4 linked regions of the Caenorhabditis elegans genome follow. The protein of the gene in region 1 purifies or fractionates together with the protein of each later gene. This does not show direct contact. Each region holds a gene or a part of one and is shown on either strand. Other genes may lie near its edges. The genes, in order: B0395.3, mcm-3, rps-15 and pole-2.

The links.
Region 2: the proteins of B0395.3 (region 1) and mcm-3 fractionate together in Caenorhabditis elegans (co-fractionation; one large-scale study listed by BioGRID). This does not show direct contact.
Region 3: the proteins of B0395.3 (region 1) and rps-15 fractionate together in Caenorhabditis elegans (co-fractionation; one large-scale study listed by BioGRID). This does not show direct contact.
Region 4: the proteins of B0395.3 (region 1) and pole-2 fractionate together in Caenorhabditis elegans (co-fractionation; one large-scale study listed by BioGRID). This does not show direct contact.

What each region holds. Positions count from the first base shown.
Region 1 is NC_003284.9:16,034,503-16,041,145, forward strand, and holds B0395.3 (Choline/carnitine acyltransferase domain-containing protein), read right to left. Parts: upstream 4,730-6,643; 5' UTR 4,724-4,729; coding exon 4,663-4,723; intron 4,614-4,662; coding exon 4,510-4,613; intron 4,463-4,509; coding exon 4,382-4,462; intron 3,852-4,381; coding exon 3,679-3,851; intron 3,625-3,678; coding exon 3,459-3,624; intron 3,156-3,458; coding exon 2,984-3,155; intron 2,876-2,983; coding exon 2,694-2,875; intron 2,401-2,693; coding exon 2,300-2,400; intron 1,635-2,299; coding exon 1,378-1,634; intron 1,327-1,377; coding exon 1,226-1,326; intron 1,169-1,225; coding exon 722-1,168; 3' UTR 534-721; downstream 1-533. Other genes in the region: mboa-1 (O-acyltransferase), read left to right, coding at 45-175.
Region 2 is NC_003283.11:15,056,193-15,061,353, forward strand, and holds mcm-3 (DNA replication licensing factor MCM3), read right to left. Parts: upstream 3,408-5,161; 5' UTR 3,403-3,407; coding exon 3,194-3,402; intron 3,149-3,193; coding exon 3,056-3,148; intron 3,005-3,055; coding exon 1,640-3,004; intron 1,587-1,639; coding exon 934-1,586; intron 887-933; coding exon 768-886; 3' UTR 527-767; downstream 1-526. Other genes in the region: C25D7.16 (40S ribosomal protein S20), read left to right, coding at 125-274, 320-526; nssp-71 (neuronal small secreted protein), read left to right, coding at 4,192-4,243, 4,824-4,937, 4,983-5,047, 5,098-5,161.
Region 3 is NC_003279.8:8,815,036-8,817,860, reverse strand, and holds rps-15 (Small ribosomal subunit protein uS19), read left to right. Parts: upstream 1-1,667; 5' UTR 1,668-1,675; coding exon 1,676-1,782; intron 1,783-1,857; coding exon 1,858-2,080; intron 2,081-2,135; coding exon 2,136-2,261; 3' UTR 2,262-2,289; downstream 2,290-2,825. Other genes in the region: F36A2.9 (Lipase_GDSL domain-containing protein), read right to left, coding at 1-104, 149-253, 612-880. UniProt on the Caenorhabditis elegans protein: Negatively regulates lifespan.
Region 4 is NC_003282.8:8,681,692-8,688,459, forward strand, and holds pole-2 (putative DNA polymerase epsilon subunit 2), read right to left. Parts: upstream 4,920-6,768; coding exon 4,840-4,919; intron 4,793-4,839; coding exon 4,692-4,792; intron 4,642-4,691; coding exon 4,566-4,641; intron 4,421-4,565; coding exon 4,261-4,420; intron 4,116-4,260; coding exon 3,999-4,115; intron 3,947-3,998; coding exon 3,716-3,946; intron 3,665-3,715; coding exon 3,566-3,664; intron 3,298-3,565; coding exon 3,073-3,297; intron 2,905-3,072; coding exon 2,756-2,904; intron 2,389-2,755; coding exon 2,322-2,388; intron 1,142-2,321; coding exon 881-1,141; 3' UTR 549-880; downstream 1-548. Other genes in the region: snrp-3 (U1 small nuclear ribonucleoprotein C), read right to left, coding at 5,284-5,379, 5,534-5,683, 5,797-5,862, 6,002-6,118; hst-1 (Heparan sulfate N-sulfotransferase 1), read right to left, coding at 6,754-6,768. UniProt on the Caenorhabditis elegans protein: Accessory component of the DNA polymerase epsilon complex. Participates in DNA repair and in chromosomal DNA replication.

The sequences.
Region 1 (6,643 bases):
GCTTTAGAACATGTTAAAACCACTAAAATACAACCATCTTTCAGGAACCGGAATGTTCATTGCTTTCTACGGCCAAGAATGGTACGCGAGACGTGGACACTGTGCCCCGTACTCCAATGCCGTTGTGGACCTTTTGTTCCCGAGACATTGGAATTGTCACCCACCAACTTCATGAAATCTCTAATTATTTGTCACACGGGGTATTCGTTTTTTTTTTTTGTATTTTGTTGATTTTATTTGAGAATTATTTTTTAAACTGTACAAAAGTTTTGTCACTAGTTTTTACAGAAAAAATAAATATTAGTTACTTGATAGAAGTTGGTTCATTGTAAAATATGCTTATTTGTACCAAAAATCTTTTGATCGGTCTGCTAGATAAATGCACACAATTTTTATGGCAGGAATAGCATATTTTAAACTATCGATTTTAGCAAAACAATTCTGAAATCAATCACATTTTTTCTCTATTTCTTGGCTATCACCCCAATATTAGATGTTTTGTAGATTTATCGTGGATATTTGTGATACACCTCTGACGGAAACGTATTTATTATACAAATTATTTATTCATATAAAATGTTTTCATAAAATATCTACAAGCATTTTCAATCAATTACAATAAAGCAGAAAAAAAAACATTGGGATCTGAACACGTAGGAGCACTAGTTATGGCGTGTGAAATGTTATTCTTTAAAAAAAAGTAGTATCAAAATATGATCTCCTACAACTTGGACATTTCTTTTGTAGCCTTATTAATAACCGATTTCATGTCAATTAGCGCCTTTTGAAGTTCCTTGGCAAACTTCTTGGAACTCGTCGAGCCGTAGCTCTTGAATGTTGAGATCATAAAGTGAAGTTCAGTTTCCTGTGGGTTGTAGCAAATTCCATAGCAATCAAGGGCAGATGGTCCGAAGCACATTTGGATGAAATGCCGTGTGGGAACTTGACTTGTGGAGACTTGGAAATGGTTGAGTTGTTGGTAGATGTTGGAACCGAAGATTTCTGGGGTTGGGAGATTATTTTCAGTAGCGATCAACTTCCATGCCAATAAATGTCTGTCCATTCCAGCTGCATCCATACAATCCATGGTGTACTTTTTATGCGAATTTGTTGCGTGAACAAGTGCATCGTAGATTTCACTAACCGGCGTAGGAGGCTTAGATACCATCTGAAAATTGAGTGAGTTAAATTGGGTGATCGATCTAGGTCACACACAAACACACACCTTCTTGACAAATGATGCTGCAGCTGTATTCGGAGATCGGATGTTCTCGGTTCGACCCTCGGTGAATTTACGCAAAGTGGCCGTCTCGTAGGTTGGTGGAACTGGAAATTTAATTCGTCATCAAATTGTAAGATGGGGGATAATTGACTTACGCGATGAGTGGATCCGGTAGAAAGCTAATTGGTAAGCCATTTGGATGAACGAGTCGGGCGAGATCTTTGAGGATTTCGGGAAATTCTTTCCGTAGGGCTTGAACGTGAACGCGACGATATCAAGGTCCTCGGCGATGCTGTCCATGTTCTTGGAGCTCTTGGCGATTCTTTTGTTGATTTCCTCGTCAGTGGAAATATCGAGACGTTGCACTGGGGAGTTGGAAGGTGTGCCTTCAGTAATGAATGTGTTAGCATCACTGAAAAATTGAAGGAAATATAATAGATATATTATCTTAAATGTTACTAACTGAAGATATCCAAGCTACCAGAATACTTTTTGCAACATTTTAAATAAACTTGTTTGATGAAGCGTAGGATCAGAAATATTTATATTGCTATGGTTAAAGGTGGAGTAGCGCCAGTGGGAATTTGGTCTGAATACACTTATTATGATCCAACACGACAGAATATCATAATAAAACACTCCAAACATTTTTCGATTTTTCATAATTTCCGGCCGAAGTTTTGGCAAACTGCCAATATTTTGAAAAACGACACATGCAATGTTTTAAGACAAATTATTTAAACAGAACTACAGTATAAAAAAATGTAGGAAAAATTTTTTTTTTGGTCGACTTCCAAAATTATATGTGGAAAAACTGAGTAACTGTCACTGTTTGACAGTAAATAAAAAAATTTTAAAAAACTTTTGAAAGGATTTATTATGATATTCGGTCATTTTGGCACCATGTGTAGGAGTAGTTTTTCACAAGTTCCCCACTGGCGCTACTCCACCTAAAGTGCCACAGTTCCGGTTTTTGACCCAACGATAAAACGAAAAAGACAACATTTTAAATTTCTGTTCAAATTCAAGTTTTTCAACAAATTTTTTTGTAATCAGTTATAAATTTCAAAAACTCACAATTGATCACAAATAAAATCCATGAGTGCACCGACTGGTGGTCCTTCGGCTGGAGTGTGCTCATACGTCATTCCGGTGTAGCCATTTGTTCCGATGACAAACTGAAATTTCCAGGTATATTTTTTGCTATTGCAATGCAAATGTGCTCTACTGATCAAATGCAAAAAAATGAGTGCATGAACGATAAACACGTGGTGTAAGAGTGTCTCATGTCGGCTTGATCTACAAAGATCTACAAAAAATGCGGGAGAAGAGACGCAGAGTTCTCAACTGATTTCGTCTGGTTAAGAACGTGTTGACGTATAATTTTTATGGGCAAAAAATTCCCGCATTTTTTGTAGATCAAACCGTAATGGGACAGCCTGACACGCCGTGGATAAACTAAATAACACACCTGAATAGTCTTGTCAAACCATCTGTTGCTCGAGTTCACTTTGGAGCCGCCACCATGCAGTGCCTGCCTACTTTGCTCATCTTTCTCCGTGTAGCCAACTGGTGGTTCACTAGCTTTGTCAAGACAGACTACGAACAACGATTTTTCGACGGCTTCCAGGGATTTCGCGTTGTTGTTATCCTCTGAAAATAGTATTATTATCAGCATAGCTAGCTTCAAAGAAAATCTTCACAATGGAGCTAAGCAAAACTTCTACATTTGGCTTGAAACTTTTTTTCTCGAAAGCTCACTTTTCAGCGATGAGTATACATTTGCCCATTTGTCGCGACTATCGGAGGAGACAATTCCCACTGGATGTGGGTTTGGAGTTTGACTCTCTGAAACGACTTTTGCCAGTTGCTGAGTAATAGCAAAAATTGAGAGTGGCTGCTCGTTGGAGTCTAGGACTTGGACGCGGAAGAGCTGAAAATGTAGGGAGATTTTAACGGTTTTGTTGAAATCTGTTTGCAATATTTTTTTCAACTTCAATTAGATGGAACAACTGAAGTCTTATGGGGTTATTCAAGAAGTGTCGAAAAATTAAAAAGTGTAGAAAAATTAGGTGCAAACTATATTAAAATACATTTTTTGAAAACTTGTATTTTAATACAGTTGTGACGTAATAAATGTATTTAAATACATTTTGCAACATTAATTGAATAACCTCATTAGTCTTTATAAAGAATCAGTGATACAATTTTTAAATAACATTTTTTAAAAACTCACATGTCCATTTCTAATCACTAAAATGTGTTGCAATTTCTCCTTATAGTCACATCCATATCTAATCTCATCTACGCCAACCTTAGGTACCCTAGTTGTTCCAAACAAGAACTGGTACTGGCTCATATCAAGCGGCGACTTTCCTGCCATATCAGGCTTCAACTGATTACTGAAAAAATGTTTTTTGAAAACTAAAAAACATCGAATTGAACCAGAAGCCTACTTTTTTGCTCGAAGGTAAAAGTGGACAGCGGCTTGGCTGATTTTTGCTGCATATTCCAGTTGTCCCTCCTCGGTGTTATAGTCAAATTTAGGGAACATGACTCCTGGAGATGTGACGACTGGAAGTGGGGTACGAGCAGCTAGGTAGGCGATGTTGAGCCACCATGGTGTGAGCTGAAAATCTTTTGTTTGAATCGGTAAAAAAACGCCAACTTGCTCAATTTTAAGATAGTTAGTTTTTAGATATATTATAAAACCATGTGTTAAATTTGGAAATCTATTTTTATGGCGCTGGCCCTGTCACTTTTTCAGCAACATTTTGATTTCATTTTGATGTTTTCAATTTATAGGCTGGCGGATTATTTTGTGGACCAATTTCCAAGAAATTGTTTGTTTTGCAAAGAAAAAATTATTTAATATAAACGCCCAACATTATGCCTAATACCTGATAGGTATTACTTATGCCGTTAAATATTTTCAAAATATTGTAAAGTTTTCTAGTATCAAACTTTTTAAAATTAGGTTTAGGGTACACTTAAAGGTGTCATTGGTTTGCAGTAAAGCTAAACCTATAAAGTTAATTGATACATTTCTATTTTTTTGGTCCAAACTGAAAATTAACTACTCCTAATCATAAATGGGGAAGTTGTTTTGAATTTATTTTTCTAATTATTTTTTTTAGAAAAAAGTGTTAAAAATCTTACCCAATTCGGAAGTGCGTCGGCTCGTTTCTGCAGCAGTTCTTGCAATTTCGGCAAATCCTTAACCACAAAATCATTTACAATCTGAAATTGACATTTGTTTTGCTCCAAATGTTTTTTTTTATTTTTACCTGTTTTGTCTCTTGAAATTCCTTTTTTGACTGCAACGCTTGTGCAAAGTCCAGGAAGTGTTTCAGCGTTTTAATTGGTTGTGGAGCCGGGAGTTTTGGTAGGTCTGAAACGTCATCAATGTATTTACAATCGAAAAAAAGGTTTAGTCTCACCTGTTGAATTATAACGGGCTGCACCGTGACCTCCGGCCATTGCGTTGACACTGTGCTTCATTAGTTGCTGCAAAATGAATTTTGAATGCTCAAAATTTTGAGGGAACAGGTAATCCCTCACAAAACGCTGCGAAAAGTTACTATAGTGATAAGTGAAAGACGTTTTGTGGGGGAAGACCCGGGTGGGGGAATGTTATCAATGATCATTCAGACTACACTACGCCGTAGTCCAAATTTTATATGGTCATTTTGGTCAGCATTTAATATTTTTGGGGAGAAACTCACGGAGATCTGTGGTCGAATCATTGTTTGACATTTCAGCATTTTTTCGACGGGTTTTGTTACTCAAATTGATGAATATAATGTAAGCTTGTATGAAAGAAAGAGAATGTAAAAGGGAATGCACCATGTTGGTTCAATGCAATTTTTTTTTAATTTAGCGTAAATAATAGAAGAGTGATCTGTTAACCAAAAAAATTTGTTGTATGTTAATTGAAAATTGTTTTGAAAAATTTTCAAAAAATAAATGAAGTCTCACAAAAAAATTCGTTTTTTTTTTGGCATCTGGCAATTTTATAACAACTTTTTGCATTTTCTCACATGTTTAAATTTAAATAATTTTTTTTTAATATTTTGGAACTAAATTTTAGTTAAAGAATAGCGCCTGTGGGGATTTGATCTACATACACTTGTCAAAAACAACCGAATATCATAATAGAACACTCAAAAAAATTTAAAAATTTAAAATTTTTCATAATTTCAAATTGCCAAAACTTTAAAAAATATGAGCAATGTCATATGTTCCAACCCTTACAATGTTTTAATACGATCAATTAAAACAAAATTAAAGTAAAAAAAATATAAGAAAACATTTTTTTTGGTCGACTTTTAAAATTATGAGTGGCAAAACTGAGTAATTGTCACTTTTTGACAGTAAATAAAAAAATTTCAAAATTTTTTTTGAAAAGTTTTATTTTTTTTATTCGGTCATTTTTAGCACTATGTGAGTAGTTTTCAAAAATATCTATACTATATCTTTATTTTTCTTTGGAAAATTTAAAACTTAAAAAACATTTTTAAAAAGTAACAAAACAAAAAAAATAATTTGTTGATTTTCAGAGTGTAAAAGTGTTCCAAATGTTTGGGGCGTAAGATCAAAGTGTTTAGAAAACGAGTGACGGCGGGTGAATGGCAGGGGTCATATGGGAAGAGAGGAGTGTGTGTGTGTGTGTGTGTGTGTGGTGATGTAGGGGGCACAAACAGAAAGACCAGGCGGAACGCAGAAAACACAGGCAGCGAAAACAGAAGAAACCGAGTAGTTGTGTTGTGTCCAAAGAGTGGGGGGGGGGGGGGGAGGAAATGGAGGCAAGTTAAGTTCTCTCCTACCACACAAAAACCCCGCGTGGTATCCACAAAGAGGCCGAGAAATGGAGGAAGAAAACAACGATGTGTAGCCAAATGGTGTGAGTTAATGAGAAGAGGTCATTGGATTTGGATGGCAGCCAGTAATTGGATTGTGTAGTGAAAGTGTTAATTTTTCTGTTTGACATTTTTTAAGACACAACTTATGGAAATTACAAGTTGAACCAAACGTTTTAATATTATTTCAGAAAACTAATGGAGTTTCATTATTAAAACTTTTTTTTTCAATTTCTGATGAAACAAATTTTAAAAAAATCGCCTAAGCATAAATATTTGCAATTTGCTTCTCAAATTCATAATTAGCGGAAATATAATGTTATTCGAATGTTTCCCCATCATTGTTTTTATTCCAAATAAAAAATTTTAGCAACATTTTGTCTTTGGAGTATTTTTTTTTTAAATTGAATACTTTTTGAAAGCAACTTGGATCCCCGAAAATTTGGAAATCTATCAATTGCAACTTTTTTTCTTTTTTTAAACACTTTTCTAATAGTTTTTTTTAGGAATTCGGCTATAACTTATATAAAAAACTAAACTTGGGCAAAAGTTGGGCAAGACT
Region 2 (5,161 bases), on another chromosome or scaffold:
AATTTCTCATATTTATTAAGCGGGTTTCTATATTTTTTTGTTCACGCTGAAAAACATTTCAAAATAAAAAAAGCTAATAAATCGTTCCAAAAAAATGTATTTCCTATATCTTCGAATCTAAAAAATGACGTCTTCTTCCGTTCAACAATCGATTGAAATTCGTGTTAATTGGAATGAAATTCCAACAATTGAGCAAAAAATTTTGGAGGCGCTGAAAGGAATAAAAACTCGAAATATCCGAGAGACGAATGTAGTTTTGTTCAAGAAAAATGAGGTATGTTTCCACTTTCTCATTCCTTTCCAAATAATTGTTTTCCAGGAAATTCATGTGAGAATCGAATTGAAGCCAATGGAATTCCCTGACACAAATCGTTGCAAAGCGGTTCAAGCGAACACCATTCCGTTGGTTGGTGACCATCGACTCGGATGTACCGGAATTCAGTATCGACAGGAGAAGGCAGCGAAACGTGGAAAGAAGGCTCGCATGTCGACCGGCGTTCAGACAGTCTCCACAAAGAATCAATGACCAAGAGTACTTCTTTTATCCGGTTACGCGATTGATAAAGAGATATAATAGGGGGAGGAATAAAGAGAAAAGAGAGAGACAACATAGTACAATAGGCAATGTAAAATCAATGTGAGTGGATTAGGAGACCCTAGTTAAAATGAAATAGGAATGATAATCAGGTGAAAAAAAGGATAAAATAATGATTTGATTGAGAGATCGAAAAGAAAACGGGGCTTATGTTCCAGCTTCCAGCAGGAAATTAGATGAGAGTGATCTTATCTTCGGCAATCATTGCAGCGTTATCGTTTTCCAATTGTTCGTATCCAGCCTTCAGCTCATCCTCAGTGAACTTGTGTGATCCGGCTTGAGTTTGAACACCTGAAAACATTTTTGTAATAAACATTTTTAATGAAACATTTGCTTACTGTCTGTGATAATTTGAAGTTCAACCATATCGTCGGTGCTTCCAATGTCGTCGAACGCCTTTCTGACGTACTTCCGAAGCTCCTTATAACGATCAACTCCGATGGCAGCCGGTCCAGTACGTGCTTTCTTAGCAGTTGGCTGACTTTCTCCAATGGTAGTATCCATCATAGAATCCTGGCTATCATCATCTTCAGCACGCCTTCTGACTCCACGACGCGGGGTGGCTGCAGTCGGAACGGAGCTAGATTGAGGCTCTTCCGATGTTGCCATGTCCTCGTTATCGCTCTGATCCTCATCATCGTCACCATCAATTCGTGGAGCTCGCTTCTTCTTCTCATACTCTTGACGAGCCTTTGGCTTCTCCTTGAAACAGGCAAAGTGGAGCAGATTGTAAGCTTTCTCAGTATCCTCTCGTTCGACTTTTTTCGAGAATCTTGCCTTCGCGATAGCAGTTGACAAACGAATCAATGTTTCGAGTTGACGAGCGGTGACAGGCATTGTTCGTTCTTGATCAGTTTTGGTGATATCAAATGAACGAATATCGGCATATACTTCAGAAATGTACTCAGTAGCTTCATCGGTGAGTTTTGGTTGAACTGATCTTGCCAAATGGATGTACTTTCTCATGAAGTCCATTGTCAGGATTTTCGTGCTGAAATAGAGAAATTAATTAATTTATATTGTTTTTTTATAAAAGAAACTCACTCTTGAATACCAGCCCATTGGGTATTTTCCTCATAGATCGAGCTGCTCGCCTTCTTAGTCTCCATATTGATTGTACTGATCGTCTCAACACCTCCACCCATCGGAAGAACAGTTCCATCGGCTTCACCTTGGGTTCTGTAAGTGTGAAGCTTGAGCACATGTTCAGCGACATTAGCGTCCTTGTCCGCATCATGCTCATCAAGAAGTACAAAGATCAAATCGAAACGCGAGAGGAGTGAATCTTGCATTCCGATGTTTTCCATTGGAGATTTGAATGGATTGTATCGTCCGTACACCGGATTTGCTGCAGCCAGAACCGAGCAACGAGCATTCAGCTTCGCGTGGATTCCAGCCTTCGAAATTGTGACACGTCCCTGTTCCATAACTTCGTGGATTGCAGTTCTATCAATATCAGACATCTTGTCAAATTCATCAATACAAACGACACCACGATCGGCGAGAACCATTGCTCCAGCTTCAAGACGACGTTCTCCCGAATCAGGATCAGTAGTAACAGCAGCAGTAAGTCCAACACCCGAAGATCCACGTCCAGTTGTGGTGATAGCTCTTGGGGCCATACGAAGAACATATCGAAGCAGTTGAGACTTGGCAACAGATGGATCTCCGATGAGAAGAACATTGATATCTCCCCTCAAACGAGAACCATTGTTCAGAATCTTTTCCATTCCACCTAGCAACAAACAGAGCAACGCTTTCTTTGTCTCTTCGTGGCCGCAAATTGATGGAGCAAGTGACCGAGCGAGCAGCTCAAATGGGTTTCTTGACTTTGAAATTTTACGAACATCTTTAACATCTTGTGGCTCAAAGTTTGGAATAACCTCCTTTGAAAGCATTTGAATATGATTAATGATGATGATCGAACGGAAGGATCCAGACGAAACTCCATTCTGCTTATTCGGCAGAACACGGAAGACTCCAATGATGCGGACACGATCTCCAGGCTTGACGCGATCTGCCAAATCAAGATCAGCAACACAATCGACGGCCCGAGGAAGTTGACCGGCTGGTGCGGATTCTGGAAGCTCTTGAATTGTGAACGTTTGATGATCCTTGTAAACTGAATGTCCGAATTCTGTTTCAAGAGGATTCTTATTTTCATCTTCTGTTGGATAGTTGTTATTGGTGACTGCAGTGTCGAGCATAGTGAAATCGGCAAATTTCTTCTCGAGCACTTTATTTGTTGCTGGACAATAGTGGACAGAAGTGAGAAGTTTTTGACGAACAGTTGAACACTTTGTGACGATTCCCTCACAGCAGACAAGGTTTCCAAGATATGATGATTTGAGAGTACGTGGATTGACGTGGCGCTCTCCGAAAGTTCCTTCAAAGCCGACGTGGAATCCACTGAAAATACAAATTGTTTAAAAACAAAAACGGCTTTTAAAAGCTACTCACGTTTTGACAACAGCTTGAACATCACTACGATTAATAGCCATTTGAAGTGCAGATTGTAAGCAATTCATCTCAAGAACGCTTTGGGTCAATAGCCTGAAAACTTTAATACTCGGGAATTCTTTATTTTTTATTAATTACCCTTCAGCTCTTTCTGGTAGAATTTCCCTGATTTCATCGAGATTCATCACCAAACGACTTTCTCCATCATTCATCATTTTCACAATTTTCTGACGATAGTGAAAAGTGTCGGCTTGATTGTCCAAAAAGTTGAGATACTGCTCCGTGATTTCTTGTTTTCGAGCATCCTCGGCACGATCAATGAACATTCCATCAGCTTGTCCGTCCATTTTTTCTGAAAATAAGATGTTTTTAACAAAAGAAACTTAAAATTAAAAAATAAACGAATAGAAACTAGAAAGCACGGAGAAGAGCGGGGAAAATAGAAAAATTCGGCCCAAATTCGCGCATTTCTCATTCAAACAGCAAGGTTTCGCGCGCTCGCTCCGTAAACACCATGACGCAACGCTGCACTCAATGCACCTGAAAGTGATGTTTGAACATGTTTATTTTAAATAGCTATTAATAGCGAAATAATTTTATTTAAATAAAAATGCCTGGAATAAAATGAAAATTGTCTGAAATTATCAGTTCAAAATTGTCATTTCAAGTTTCAAAAAACATCAATAACATTTGTGCCCGTGATCTATGCAAAAGATCTCTTCCAAAAATCTCCTCAATTTTTCATAACAAATCACAAAAATGGAATCTATTGTTTCAGTACTCACAAACTCACAGACACAGATGCTTTTCCATTCTATTCATCCCATCTTTCTTATTTTCTCCCTGCCTCCCCCAGGACGCACCTTTCGTAATACATTTATACATAGAAATGGGAAGAAAGTGGTCACAAAAGCACACATATACACAAAATTTATGCCGTAAAGCTTTAAGTGCTTTGACTTTGTCTCCTAGAAACTTGAGCGCACCGCGTGCTGGAAACCATTGGAAACCGTTTGAAACAACATCTATCGGACCCTCCCGCCGCCGCTCGGGCCTTCACTCATTCATTCATTCACAAAGCTATTTTTTCTGTGCTTTTTCGTTTTATATTCGCAATACGATACGAATACGAAACCATGAAACTTCTACTCGCAATCTCGATTCTGGTACTCTGGATTTCAGAGACAGGTGAGAATTGAATCTAGATTTATAACAGGACTGGCGAAATTTTGAACGTGTTGCCTCCAAGAGTACTGTACCGGGTCTCGAAACGACTTTTTTAAGACAAAATCTATTAGCTTACTATTCTTCAAACGAGTGTGCACCTTTAAGGAGTACTGTAGTATTCAGATTGTTTCCGGGTTTTCTTTATTTAGTTGCTATAGTTTTTTCTTCCGTTTTTTAAGTATCAAAAAATGATAATTACACAAGTGAAATTACTTGAGAATGAAACAATTTTTAGAAAACAGGAGAAAACTGTTCTGAGAAAAGTTAGAAACTACCGTACTCTTCAAAGGCGCAAACACTTTTGCAAATTTAATAATGGGTAGTGTCGAGATCTGATCTAAGGGGCTTGGTGTGCGCCTTTAAGAGGTACAGTTTTTCCAGGGTTCAAAAATGTTTATTTGAAAACTAAGTTGAAAATAAACCGAAAAATCTGAAAAAAAAAGTCGTTACTGTACCGCTTAAAGGCGCGTACCTTTCACGATTTGCAAATATTTCTTTCGTGGCGAGACCTTGGAGCTTTGGAACATTGACTTTTTTTCAGAATCCACAACATGCTTCGTCCAAAATAGTATTCTCAATGCGTTCACTCAAGTCTGCCCGGGAAACATCTACACCTGCATGAAGTTCGACTGTAAAGTGAACAATCCGAAGAAATGTGAGTTTTAAGCCTGGAAATTATCTGTAAAATCTGAATTTTCAGTCCGTCAGACCACTAAAGGATGTAATGATCCTGGAAATGCCCTGGTCGCCTGTACTCAGCTTATGGTAAGTAAAAATAAATTTATATATTTTTTCGTGCAAAAATTAATTTCCAGACGCAATGCCAAGCCCAAGGTGGAACCGGACAATGCTACACTTGCAATGGAGATTACTGTAATT
Region 3 (2,825 bases), on another chromosome or scaffold:
CATCTCCCATTGCAGCAATGATTGTTATATCTTCAGGAGATATGTTTCCAACATTCGTTCCAGTCAAAAGTTCAGTTTTGATACGAGGACAGGAGAATGTCTTTCTGAAAAAAGCTTCATTTTTATCAATATATTAGTAAAAATAAACCTGTCATTGAATGCAGAGTTGATTACACCAGCCACTGGTTGATGTTTTTCAGGTTTGATGGCGGTCAGAGATTTGAGATGTTGATGATCCACACTGTCTCTTTCTCTGAAATAATAATTGTTTTTGTCATTTTTCATAGAGTTCCAGGAAGACCATCACTCGACCTCATTCAAAAAGCGTTTAATTGGAAGAAACTAATATGGAAAAGAAGATTAAAAAATTAAGTAACTCAACAAAAATAAATAGGATAGTTTGAAATTGGGAGAAGCAGACCATGCGGTTTTAGCATTCTAATTTCAAAAATTGAAAACCCTTCTTCATCTTCGTGTGATGACGTAGCAGTGTCGAAAAATTTGTCATAATCGGCTGATTTTCCCCACATTTTTATAAGTCTGAACTGTCCAAATTTTGTAAATCGCAAGAAGCCGGTGAGAAAAAATGATTTTAAATTAAATGGTCACACCTTTCTTCACTTATATCACTTGAATCATCATCTTCTGAAACTTCTGTACTGTCATTTCCACGCCTTTTTTGTTCTTCTGGAGTTATTTTATCGTCATCACTGCTTCTTCGGCTCGCATAATCGGTCAAATTTTGCGAATTATCCTCATAATCCACCATAAACTTTCCCTCGTCATGGAACTCCCCGCGTAGAATTTTCTGGTCTACATTGGGAACCACAGATCCATGTGCAAAATAAAATAGAAGTAGTAGAAGTAGGTTTAATCGCATTCTGAAAAAATTAAAGTGAAGACAAAATAGTGCTTGCGATAAGGCTAAAGAAGAAGATATTTAAAAGGTAGAATCGTCAAAAGGAGAGAATATAGATCTCCAAACTCTATTATGCTTTATTTGCAGTTCGAAATTGAAAACAATGCTTAAAAAACAAAATTAAATCGACAAGAATTTCAAATAACTAATTATTGTCGAATAAATTCTGGTCGAAACTTCATTTTATGAAAATAATTTGTATTCAGCAGTTGAATACATTTTTTATTTTGAGAATAACATTATTTAAATTAAATTACGAAGCTCCAAAACTTTTTTTTTCACCAATTTCCGTTTATCAGGCCCGAAAAATTGATAAAAATATAAGAATTGCAACCGCGCTCCACCGAATTCTGGCGAACAGCCAACCTGCGCTGAGTAGCGACTCAACAATGATGAACGATACGGAGCTTCGGTTGTCAGTAGAATTTTTACAAAATTTTCCGTTTTTCGCGATTTTTTTCACGGTTTTTCTGGTTTTTTGGTGTTAATACCTGTTTTTAATATAGAAATACTAATTTTTCTTTTCCTACTGTAGAGAAATATGTGAAACTAATGGAAAAATTATCGTAAAAATGTATAAAATGGAAGTTGCATTAATTCAGATTTTATTTAATTAAATTTTACGATATGTAAGTCAGTGCTCTTTTTGATAATTCATGACGAGTTTTCTTCACTTCTCTTCCATATGTTTATTTACTTTCTTTTCAATATCCATATATTGCAACAAAAAAAGTAATCGATTTTTCAGGGTTAAACATGGCTACTCAAGATGATGCCCATCTCGCTGAGCTGAAGAAGAAGAGAACTTTCCGCAAGTTCATGTACAGAGGAGTTGACTTGGACCAACTTTTGGACATGTCCCGGTAATTTTTTAAAACAATATTTTGCCGGCAATGTCTGGTTTTTGGTCATCTCCAAGAACAATTATTTATTTCCAGTGAACAATTCACCAAGCTTCTCCCCTGCCGCATGCGCAGACGTCTCGATCGCGGACTCAAGAGAAAGCACTTGGCTCTCATCGCTAAGGTCCAAAAGGCCAAGAAGGCTGCTGGTGTTCTCGAGAAGCCAGCCACCGTTAAGACCCATCTCCGAGACATGATCATCCTTCCAGAGCTCGTTGGTGGAGTCATCGGAATCTACAACGGAAAGGTTTTCAACCAGGTGAGTCGATTACAATAAATGCGAAAACATTATGATTATTATTATTTTGTTACAGACCGAAATCAAGCCAGAGATGATCGGATTCTATCTCGGAGAGTTCGCTATCTCCTACAAGCCTGTCAAGCACGGAAGACCAGGTATTGGAGCTACCCACTCTTCCCGATTCATCCCACTCAAGTAAAGTTATTTGTTGAACAATAAACTTGTTTCTAAAGTTGATCAAATTATGTTGCTGTCTTTTATACACGGTTGAATAACATCAATTCGAAGAAACGTGATGATTTTATATTAGAATGTGTCGAAATGTCCGCGCGAGTTGAAAGGGTCAGTTGAATATTGGATGCGAATGCCTTTACGGAAGCCCGCACTATCACAAAAATAACCACCCAAATTTTTTGAATTTCTTTTGTATTCCTAATAAAAGTAAACGAATATCGAGAACTTGCTGGCCCTGGATGTCATCGACCAATCTGAATACCGTGATTACCATTCTTCTACACAGCAATACGCTGCTTTTAATGAACAGAATAGTCCGAACACAGAATTGCAATAAAAGGCCATAATTTTAGAAAACGGCTTCTCATTTTTTCTCATCAACATTAAGTGAAAAAATGGATAGATTTTGTTCTTATTTCTCCGAAAGGTATCAAAAATGTTCGACTTGGTGGCAATAAGTTTCCTCGTCACATACTTCGCTGTCTCCCACTTGATTTCGTGTTTGTTATAATTGGTCCATTTTCTGGAT
Region 4 (6,768 bases), on another chromosome or scaffold:
GAATGGAAAAACTTCAAAGACTAGATGAACGAAAGAGGTGATACTGTAGTTGTTAAATGTGCACACCGTTTTGAGCAGTCTTCGTTTGGAACTTGTCCGTTCGTGACAAGAGTTTGAAAATAAATCATGAGAAATCGTGTTTAACTGGCAAGGATAAAACTGAGAAAACTCGGAAAACTCAGAAGTAGAAACAATTGAAAATTGTCAGCAAATTTAAATTCAAATATTATTATTCTCCGAAATTAGACTTCAGACAGAAAAATCTACCAAAAAATACTGAAATTCCCAATATTTCCACCAACTTTATATAAATCCAACTAATTAGGCTCCGCCCTTTTATCATCTGAAATATTGCACCTGTCTTCTGTATGCGGGGCCCCCGGTTAATGCAAAATCTAAGTGATATCAGAATACGACGAGGTGGCTCAGTTAGGGTCACGTCACCTGAGAAGTGAAGTGATCTGAAAAAACTGAGATTCGTCATTTCGGAAATTGAAATGGAATTTTGAAATTAATTAATTTCGGATTTCTACAACTCCAGAATTGATTTTGCAAAATACTTGTTTTATTTGACACGTAGACCTCAAAAATTATTCAGAAATCACATGATGTACTTGAGATGAAAATAGTGATAAACTGTGAGATTCAAATAAAAAACTGAAGAAAAAATGATTAAAAAATTAGATGAAAATCGAATGGAAAATTGTGAGATTGAGATGGTTTGCAGATCAAAGAAAAACGGGAATGGAATTGGAGATTTGATAATTAAAATAGGTAAGCTTGATTTGTGAAGCATGTCAGAAAAGGAAGAAGAATATGATTACATTTTTGATGTTAGAGCTGGAAATATAATTGGGTATGAATTCTTAATCATCATATTCTACTGATCATCAAGTTCGGAAACTGGGATTTGTGAAGCTTCCACGCGATTCTGACAGGGATAATAGACGTGGAAAGTGTAGTTGCTTCGAGAGAATGAACCAGGATTTGAGACAATTGTGTCAGCTCCAACGACTTTTTCGGTGAAAGTCTCGAAACGATCAGCAGTGATCAGAAGATCGGGAAGTGGATGAAGTGACAAGGAATGAGAGAAATCCGGTAAAACTGGTGTAATATGTTGAGGAAGTGGACACAAATGCGCCTGAAAATAAAACTATAATTAACAGTTTTCAGATTTTTCATATTTTGAGTGTCCAGTTTCCGAAGACCCCGAATTTGTAACTTCAAATTTAAATTAATCTTTGGTTCATGGATTCGATTGGTTATTCTTTTCCTATAGGATATGAAGGTCTAAATTTAACCGTGAAAATCTAGAACTGTAGCAGAAGAACATGTATTTTAAGAAATTAAATGTTCTTTCGTATTTTCTGAGGATTTAATTGGCTCTCCATAAAAGGAAAAATCAAAAATACTTCCATAGAGCCCACGTGATCAAAAATTATGAAAACAATGGGTACAAGGACATGTGGAATTTGCATCAGAGTCTCAAACATCGTCAAATCAAAAACTAAAATTGAAATAAAAAACTCGTGTGATTTCTTGTCTACAATTCAAAACACAAAATCAGACAAACTTTCAATTATAACGCTGAAGTCTGAAGCCTGTTGGAAATTTATTATTTTTTCTTTAAAAAAAAAGAGCGATAATTTTATTCTGTGGTTTTCGCTTTGAATAATTTGAAGTTTTTAAAGTGCTCACTAAAAACCAAAAATACCTTCTTTTTTTAAAGTTTTTTATTGAAAAATTTTAATTTCAATTTAACTTAATTATTTAACTTTTCAGCCCAATTCAATTACATTTTCTGAATTTTTTTAACATACTGAAAAGCGGGGTTTTCGAAAATTTGCAATTTTTGTTCGAATTGATCTTAGTTTTTATTTTTACATTTCATAGATCCAGATTGGCAGGTTCAAAATAAAATATATAAATTTTATAATTTCAGATGCAAAAAAAAATCTATTTTCAGCTCATTAGAAGAAGTTTATCGCTTATTTTCAGGTGTTTTTGAGCCGGTTCCAGTTCCCACTAAAACTGCTACGTGATTTTTTTCCAGCATGGACAGAAAAACAAATATAGTATTTAGGAGAAGATATATTTCGTAGTAAGATCAGGTGAATTTCGTTTAGTTATTCAAAACGTTGACTGAACTTATTGGAAATACGAGAAAGTTCAATGCTTCAAATCATGAAACTTCAAAATTTCTACGTTTCTGTATCAGGGGTTGCCGAGTTGAAAAAAAATCCAGAATGAAAAATCAAAATCTACAGAATTTAGTAGTTTTTTTTAATTACACAAATTTTCATCAAATTCATTTTACCAACCTGGCTCAACACACTTCTTGCATATCTCGATGGGATGGATTCGACAGTGATACTATTGATTGAATGTCTGAAATTAAGTAATTTCAAAATTATTTAGTTTTAAGGATTATGCCAAAATTTCTTCTCGGAAAATTCTCATTTTTAGGAAATTATAACTTCTATGTTTGTTTATTCTCATTTTTTATTATTATGAAATAAATAAAAATTCAGATATTCTGTTGTTGTTTCTCATATTTTTTAACCGATCTCTTTAGATTCCAACGTCATCACATCTGTATTTTGTCTAGTTCATTAGTGTCTAGCTCAATAAATAATAATCAGTTCATTGCTCCAATTATCATCTCAGCTGTCATTTTTTGTACTGCCGTACTAATTTCAACAGACAAAATAGCGTATTGATGATGAGATTTCCAGACTGAAAAGCTTAAATTCACCTGCACGTTTTTTTGATCAAATCACTTCGGAAGACAACAATCTCCTGGCTTGCGAATTGAATTCGACACGGATTCGAAGCAAATGTACACGAGATAATTGGGGAAATATGCTTGAAGAGAAGAGATGGAAGATGTGGACGAGGAAGTACCTGAAAATTCCAAAAAATAGAAACGCAAATGATAGTATGATAGTAGTTTGATAAAAACTATATTCCGGCTGCTGTGACAACGAAAAGTCGGCGAAATTTCCGATTTTGGCAAAATTGTGTTTTTTTTTTTGAAATTTTTGGAAAAGAACATTTTTGAATATATTTTACCGTGTCAACAAATGGATCATCAGGTCCTGGTACAAAGATAAACTGTGTTTTTTCATAATCCTTTCTGAGTGGTGTCAATTGATTAGCCAACCACCTGAATCCACGATCCAGTAAATCAATTGTATCAGTTTGTCTGGGTCTTGAGCAAAAATTTCCACAAAAAACAATTGCAACTGGAGGTTGATCTTTGTATCCTTGTAGCAATTTGAATACTGCTTTCATAACCTGGAAAACATATAAATTAGACTGGTTTTTGAACTGAAAATTATTCTTTTCTAGTTTATTGGGGAAAAATATTTTTTTCGGAAAAAACCTAAACTGAGAATTTTCTTCAGAGTTTCTAAGAATAGACTATCGAAATTATAAATAGAGTTCAGTTAATTCAAAATATTTAGGTTTTTTAAAAATAGTGATTCAAACTTTTAAAAAAATTGTTTTTTGTTTATTAGTTTTTTTCGTTATTCGTTTTCAAAAAAAAAAGTTTTCGGATTACCTTTTTATCATCCAAAAAAACATCGGAAAGGAAGACAAGGGAAGTATCTTCCTGCTTAGCCAGAGCTGATCGTAGGCGATCACTGCACCGGAATGCGATCTGAAATCAGTTTTTTTTCAAAAAGAAGTATACTTTAAATTATTTCCATACCTTATCATCTCCTCCAAACCAATTCTCATTCGAACTCAACTCTTTTCTCGTAACTTCTGCTGATTCTACAGGTACCATTGCAACTTCATTCACTGTTAAAACACTATTCTCAAAAGTTCCTTCAAAAATTGCAATTGAATGCTCATGGAATAACGCATGATGAAATTTCGTGTCTTCTTTAAATTCTACTTCAACTGAACCGCTTAGATCTTCGATATGATAGCAGTCGGCCTGAAAATTATTAATATTAGATTTTATCAAATTTCACTATTTCAAAGAATACCTTTTGCTGAGTAAGCATACCGAGAACTACAACTGATTGAAGATGTTTTGTGGAACTTCCCAAAATTTCGCATGTGGTGAATTTGAAGTTTTTCAGTGAAGCACATCGCATTGCACGCTGTAAATCGTTAATTGATTAAACTTTTTATTAAAGATTTCAGTATATATTTATATGTTGACCTTTTTATGCAAACACATATTAGTGAAATATACATTTTGCATATTTTTTTTGCAAATTTAAACAAAAAAGAAAAAATGTTCACCTGCTTAACAATAAAAAATCGTTGTCGTGCAGCATGTGAGAATGACGACGAATCAGCAGCCAGACTAGTTTTTTCTTTTCTTAGAACCATTTTCCGAAGATCCGCATCAAAATCATACGGCTGGAGGGAGAATGCGTCGAATACATTGAGCAGTTTTCCTCTGAAAACACGAGTATAAAATTACCTTATCCAGAAATGTGACGTCAATTCGCAAAAATGAAAGGGTTATGATGCTCTAATAAAGATAACAATAGAAGTTTTTTTTTTGAAAAAATTAATTTTTAGAGGTCAAAACCAGAACTCACGCATCTTGGGTTCCTTTTGATTTACATTGACGGAATGTATCTCTGATGAGTTCTTCACTGATTAGGGATGATTGCACTAAAGGAAAAAACTATTTGAAAATAGTTTAATAACTGGTATATGCTTACGTGTCTGCTTTTTGAGTAATTCAATCATTTTATTCGTCCATTTCTTTCGAGTTTCTTTGTCATGGTCTAGGAATAGCTTCACACATAATTTGACCGCTTCTCTATAAAATAATTGCAAATTGAAATAATTAATTTTCAAGAAAACTACTTTTTGAGCTCAAATGCGTGTATCTGAAAGGTTTTGACAATTTCTCGGCGCAGCGCATTCTCCTCGGCAGTTGTGTCCATCTAAAATTGTATTTTTAATTTGCTTTTCTGTTAAGAAAAGAGGGATTAACTATTAAAATTAATTCAAAATATTCAGATAATCACACCATGCAAAGTCAACACATCACAAAACGATAAACAGAAATAGTATTAACAGATTAGATTTCAAAATAAAAATATTCATTACAAAAATTGAGACCAGGAACAGAAATAAATTATTATTATATAATGTTCACGAATTAGGAAACTTCAGAACGATTTTTCTTGGAAACAGTTGATAATTTGAAAAAGAAAAATGAAATTTTTTGTGCACACTTGGCAGAAACCCAAAACAATAACAATTTAAGCATTCTGAATAATTTCCATAGGAAACATCGAATTCATTTTACATCGGACGGAATTGTTGTGGTGGACGTGGCATCATTGGTGGCATTCCTGGTGGTCCAGCCATACCCATAGGCCCTCCTGGGAATGGTGGCATCTGAAATATTCAGTTGTTGGCGAGACTTTTTAATATTTCAAGAAAAAAAATACATAGTCCTCTTTAAACTCTAAAATGTCAGTCAAATCTGCATTGACACAATTTTAATTTAGATTTCAGCTGCATTTCAGTGTAATCTTTTAAAAAGACTGACCCCTGGTGCTCCTGGAAATCCGACTCCTGGTCCAGGGAACGGTCGAGGAGCCATCATTGGCATTCCTGGGGGACCTCCCATCATCGGATGATGACCCACTGGTGGTACAGGGGCCATTCCCATTGTTGTACGTGGTACGGCTCCTTGCATCTGAAAATTGACTTTGGTTTATACTTGTTTTCAAACAAAAAGGACGCTGATTTTTAAATTACAACTGGATTATATATTTGTTGTTGTAAAAGCTGTATTTTAAAACAACTTACTCTATTTGTGGCAAATGCCCGTGCAGTTTGATCAACAAGCTTCTGTGCTTGGTCTTCCATCCATTTCTGAAATAAAATGATTTTATAGTTCATGTCCAATTAAATAAAAATTGCATTATTTACAAAACAGAAACTTCTTAGAAGAAAATCGATAATATCAAACACTAGCTCACTTTATTTGAAAAATAGCGTGTTAGGAACTTACCTGATAAAACATTCTGACGTTATCCTTGTGTTTTCTTCCTCCATTGTGCGTTTTTCTCACTGATGGCGAGTCATGTGTCAAAAATGTGTCGCAGTAATCACAATAGTACTTTGGCATGCTGAAAATTAAGATTTTGTCATTTTGAACTATTGTTACCAAGAAAAGAAAGCATAATGAAAAATATAAACCACGAAAAACTGAGAGTATTCGAAAATCGGTTTCAAAAAATTCTTGCTCCGAAAGTGTGTCAACAGGGCACGAGAAATACGCAAACATATCGAGAAAAGCGTCAGTAATTTATTCACGTGGGTGTTCAAATTTGGTTTTTAACGAAAATTTTCTACGAAAATAAAAACGAATTCAAGATCATCATGAAATAGTTTTTCAAAGAAGGAAATGAATTATATTTTGGATGCTGAATGCTCGGTTAAAATAGATATAAGGTGTTGTCGTTATTCAGACGCGCCCAGTGCTGTTTGGACGCATTTAATGTTGAATATCGACTCTGTCAATTGGTATCGATTGATTTTGGGCATCGTGAGATAGTCGTAAATATGCACAAAACATTGAGAAGAAGATAACTGATTTTACATTGTATATTTATAGATTTTTCCACGGGAAAAATTTCAATTTTTGTTTAAAAAATTTAAACCCGTATTAAAAAATAAACAAGCGAAAGATCAATAGGTACAGGCATTTGTTACAAAAATGAGCAAGCAGTTATGGCAAAGTACAAGAAAAAGTAGTGTAAATTATGCACGAATTCT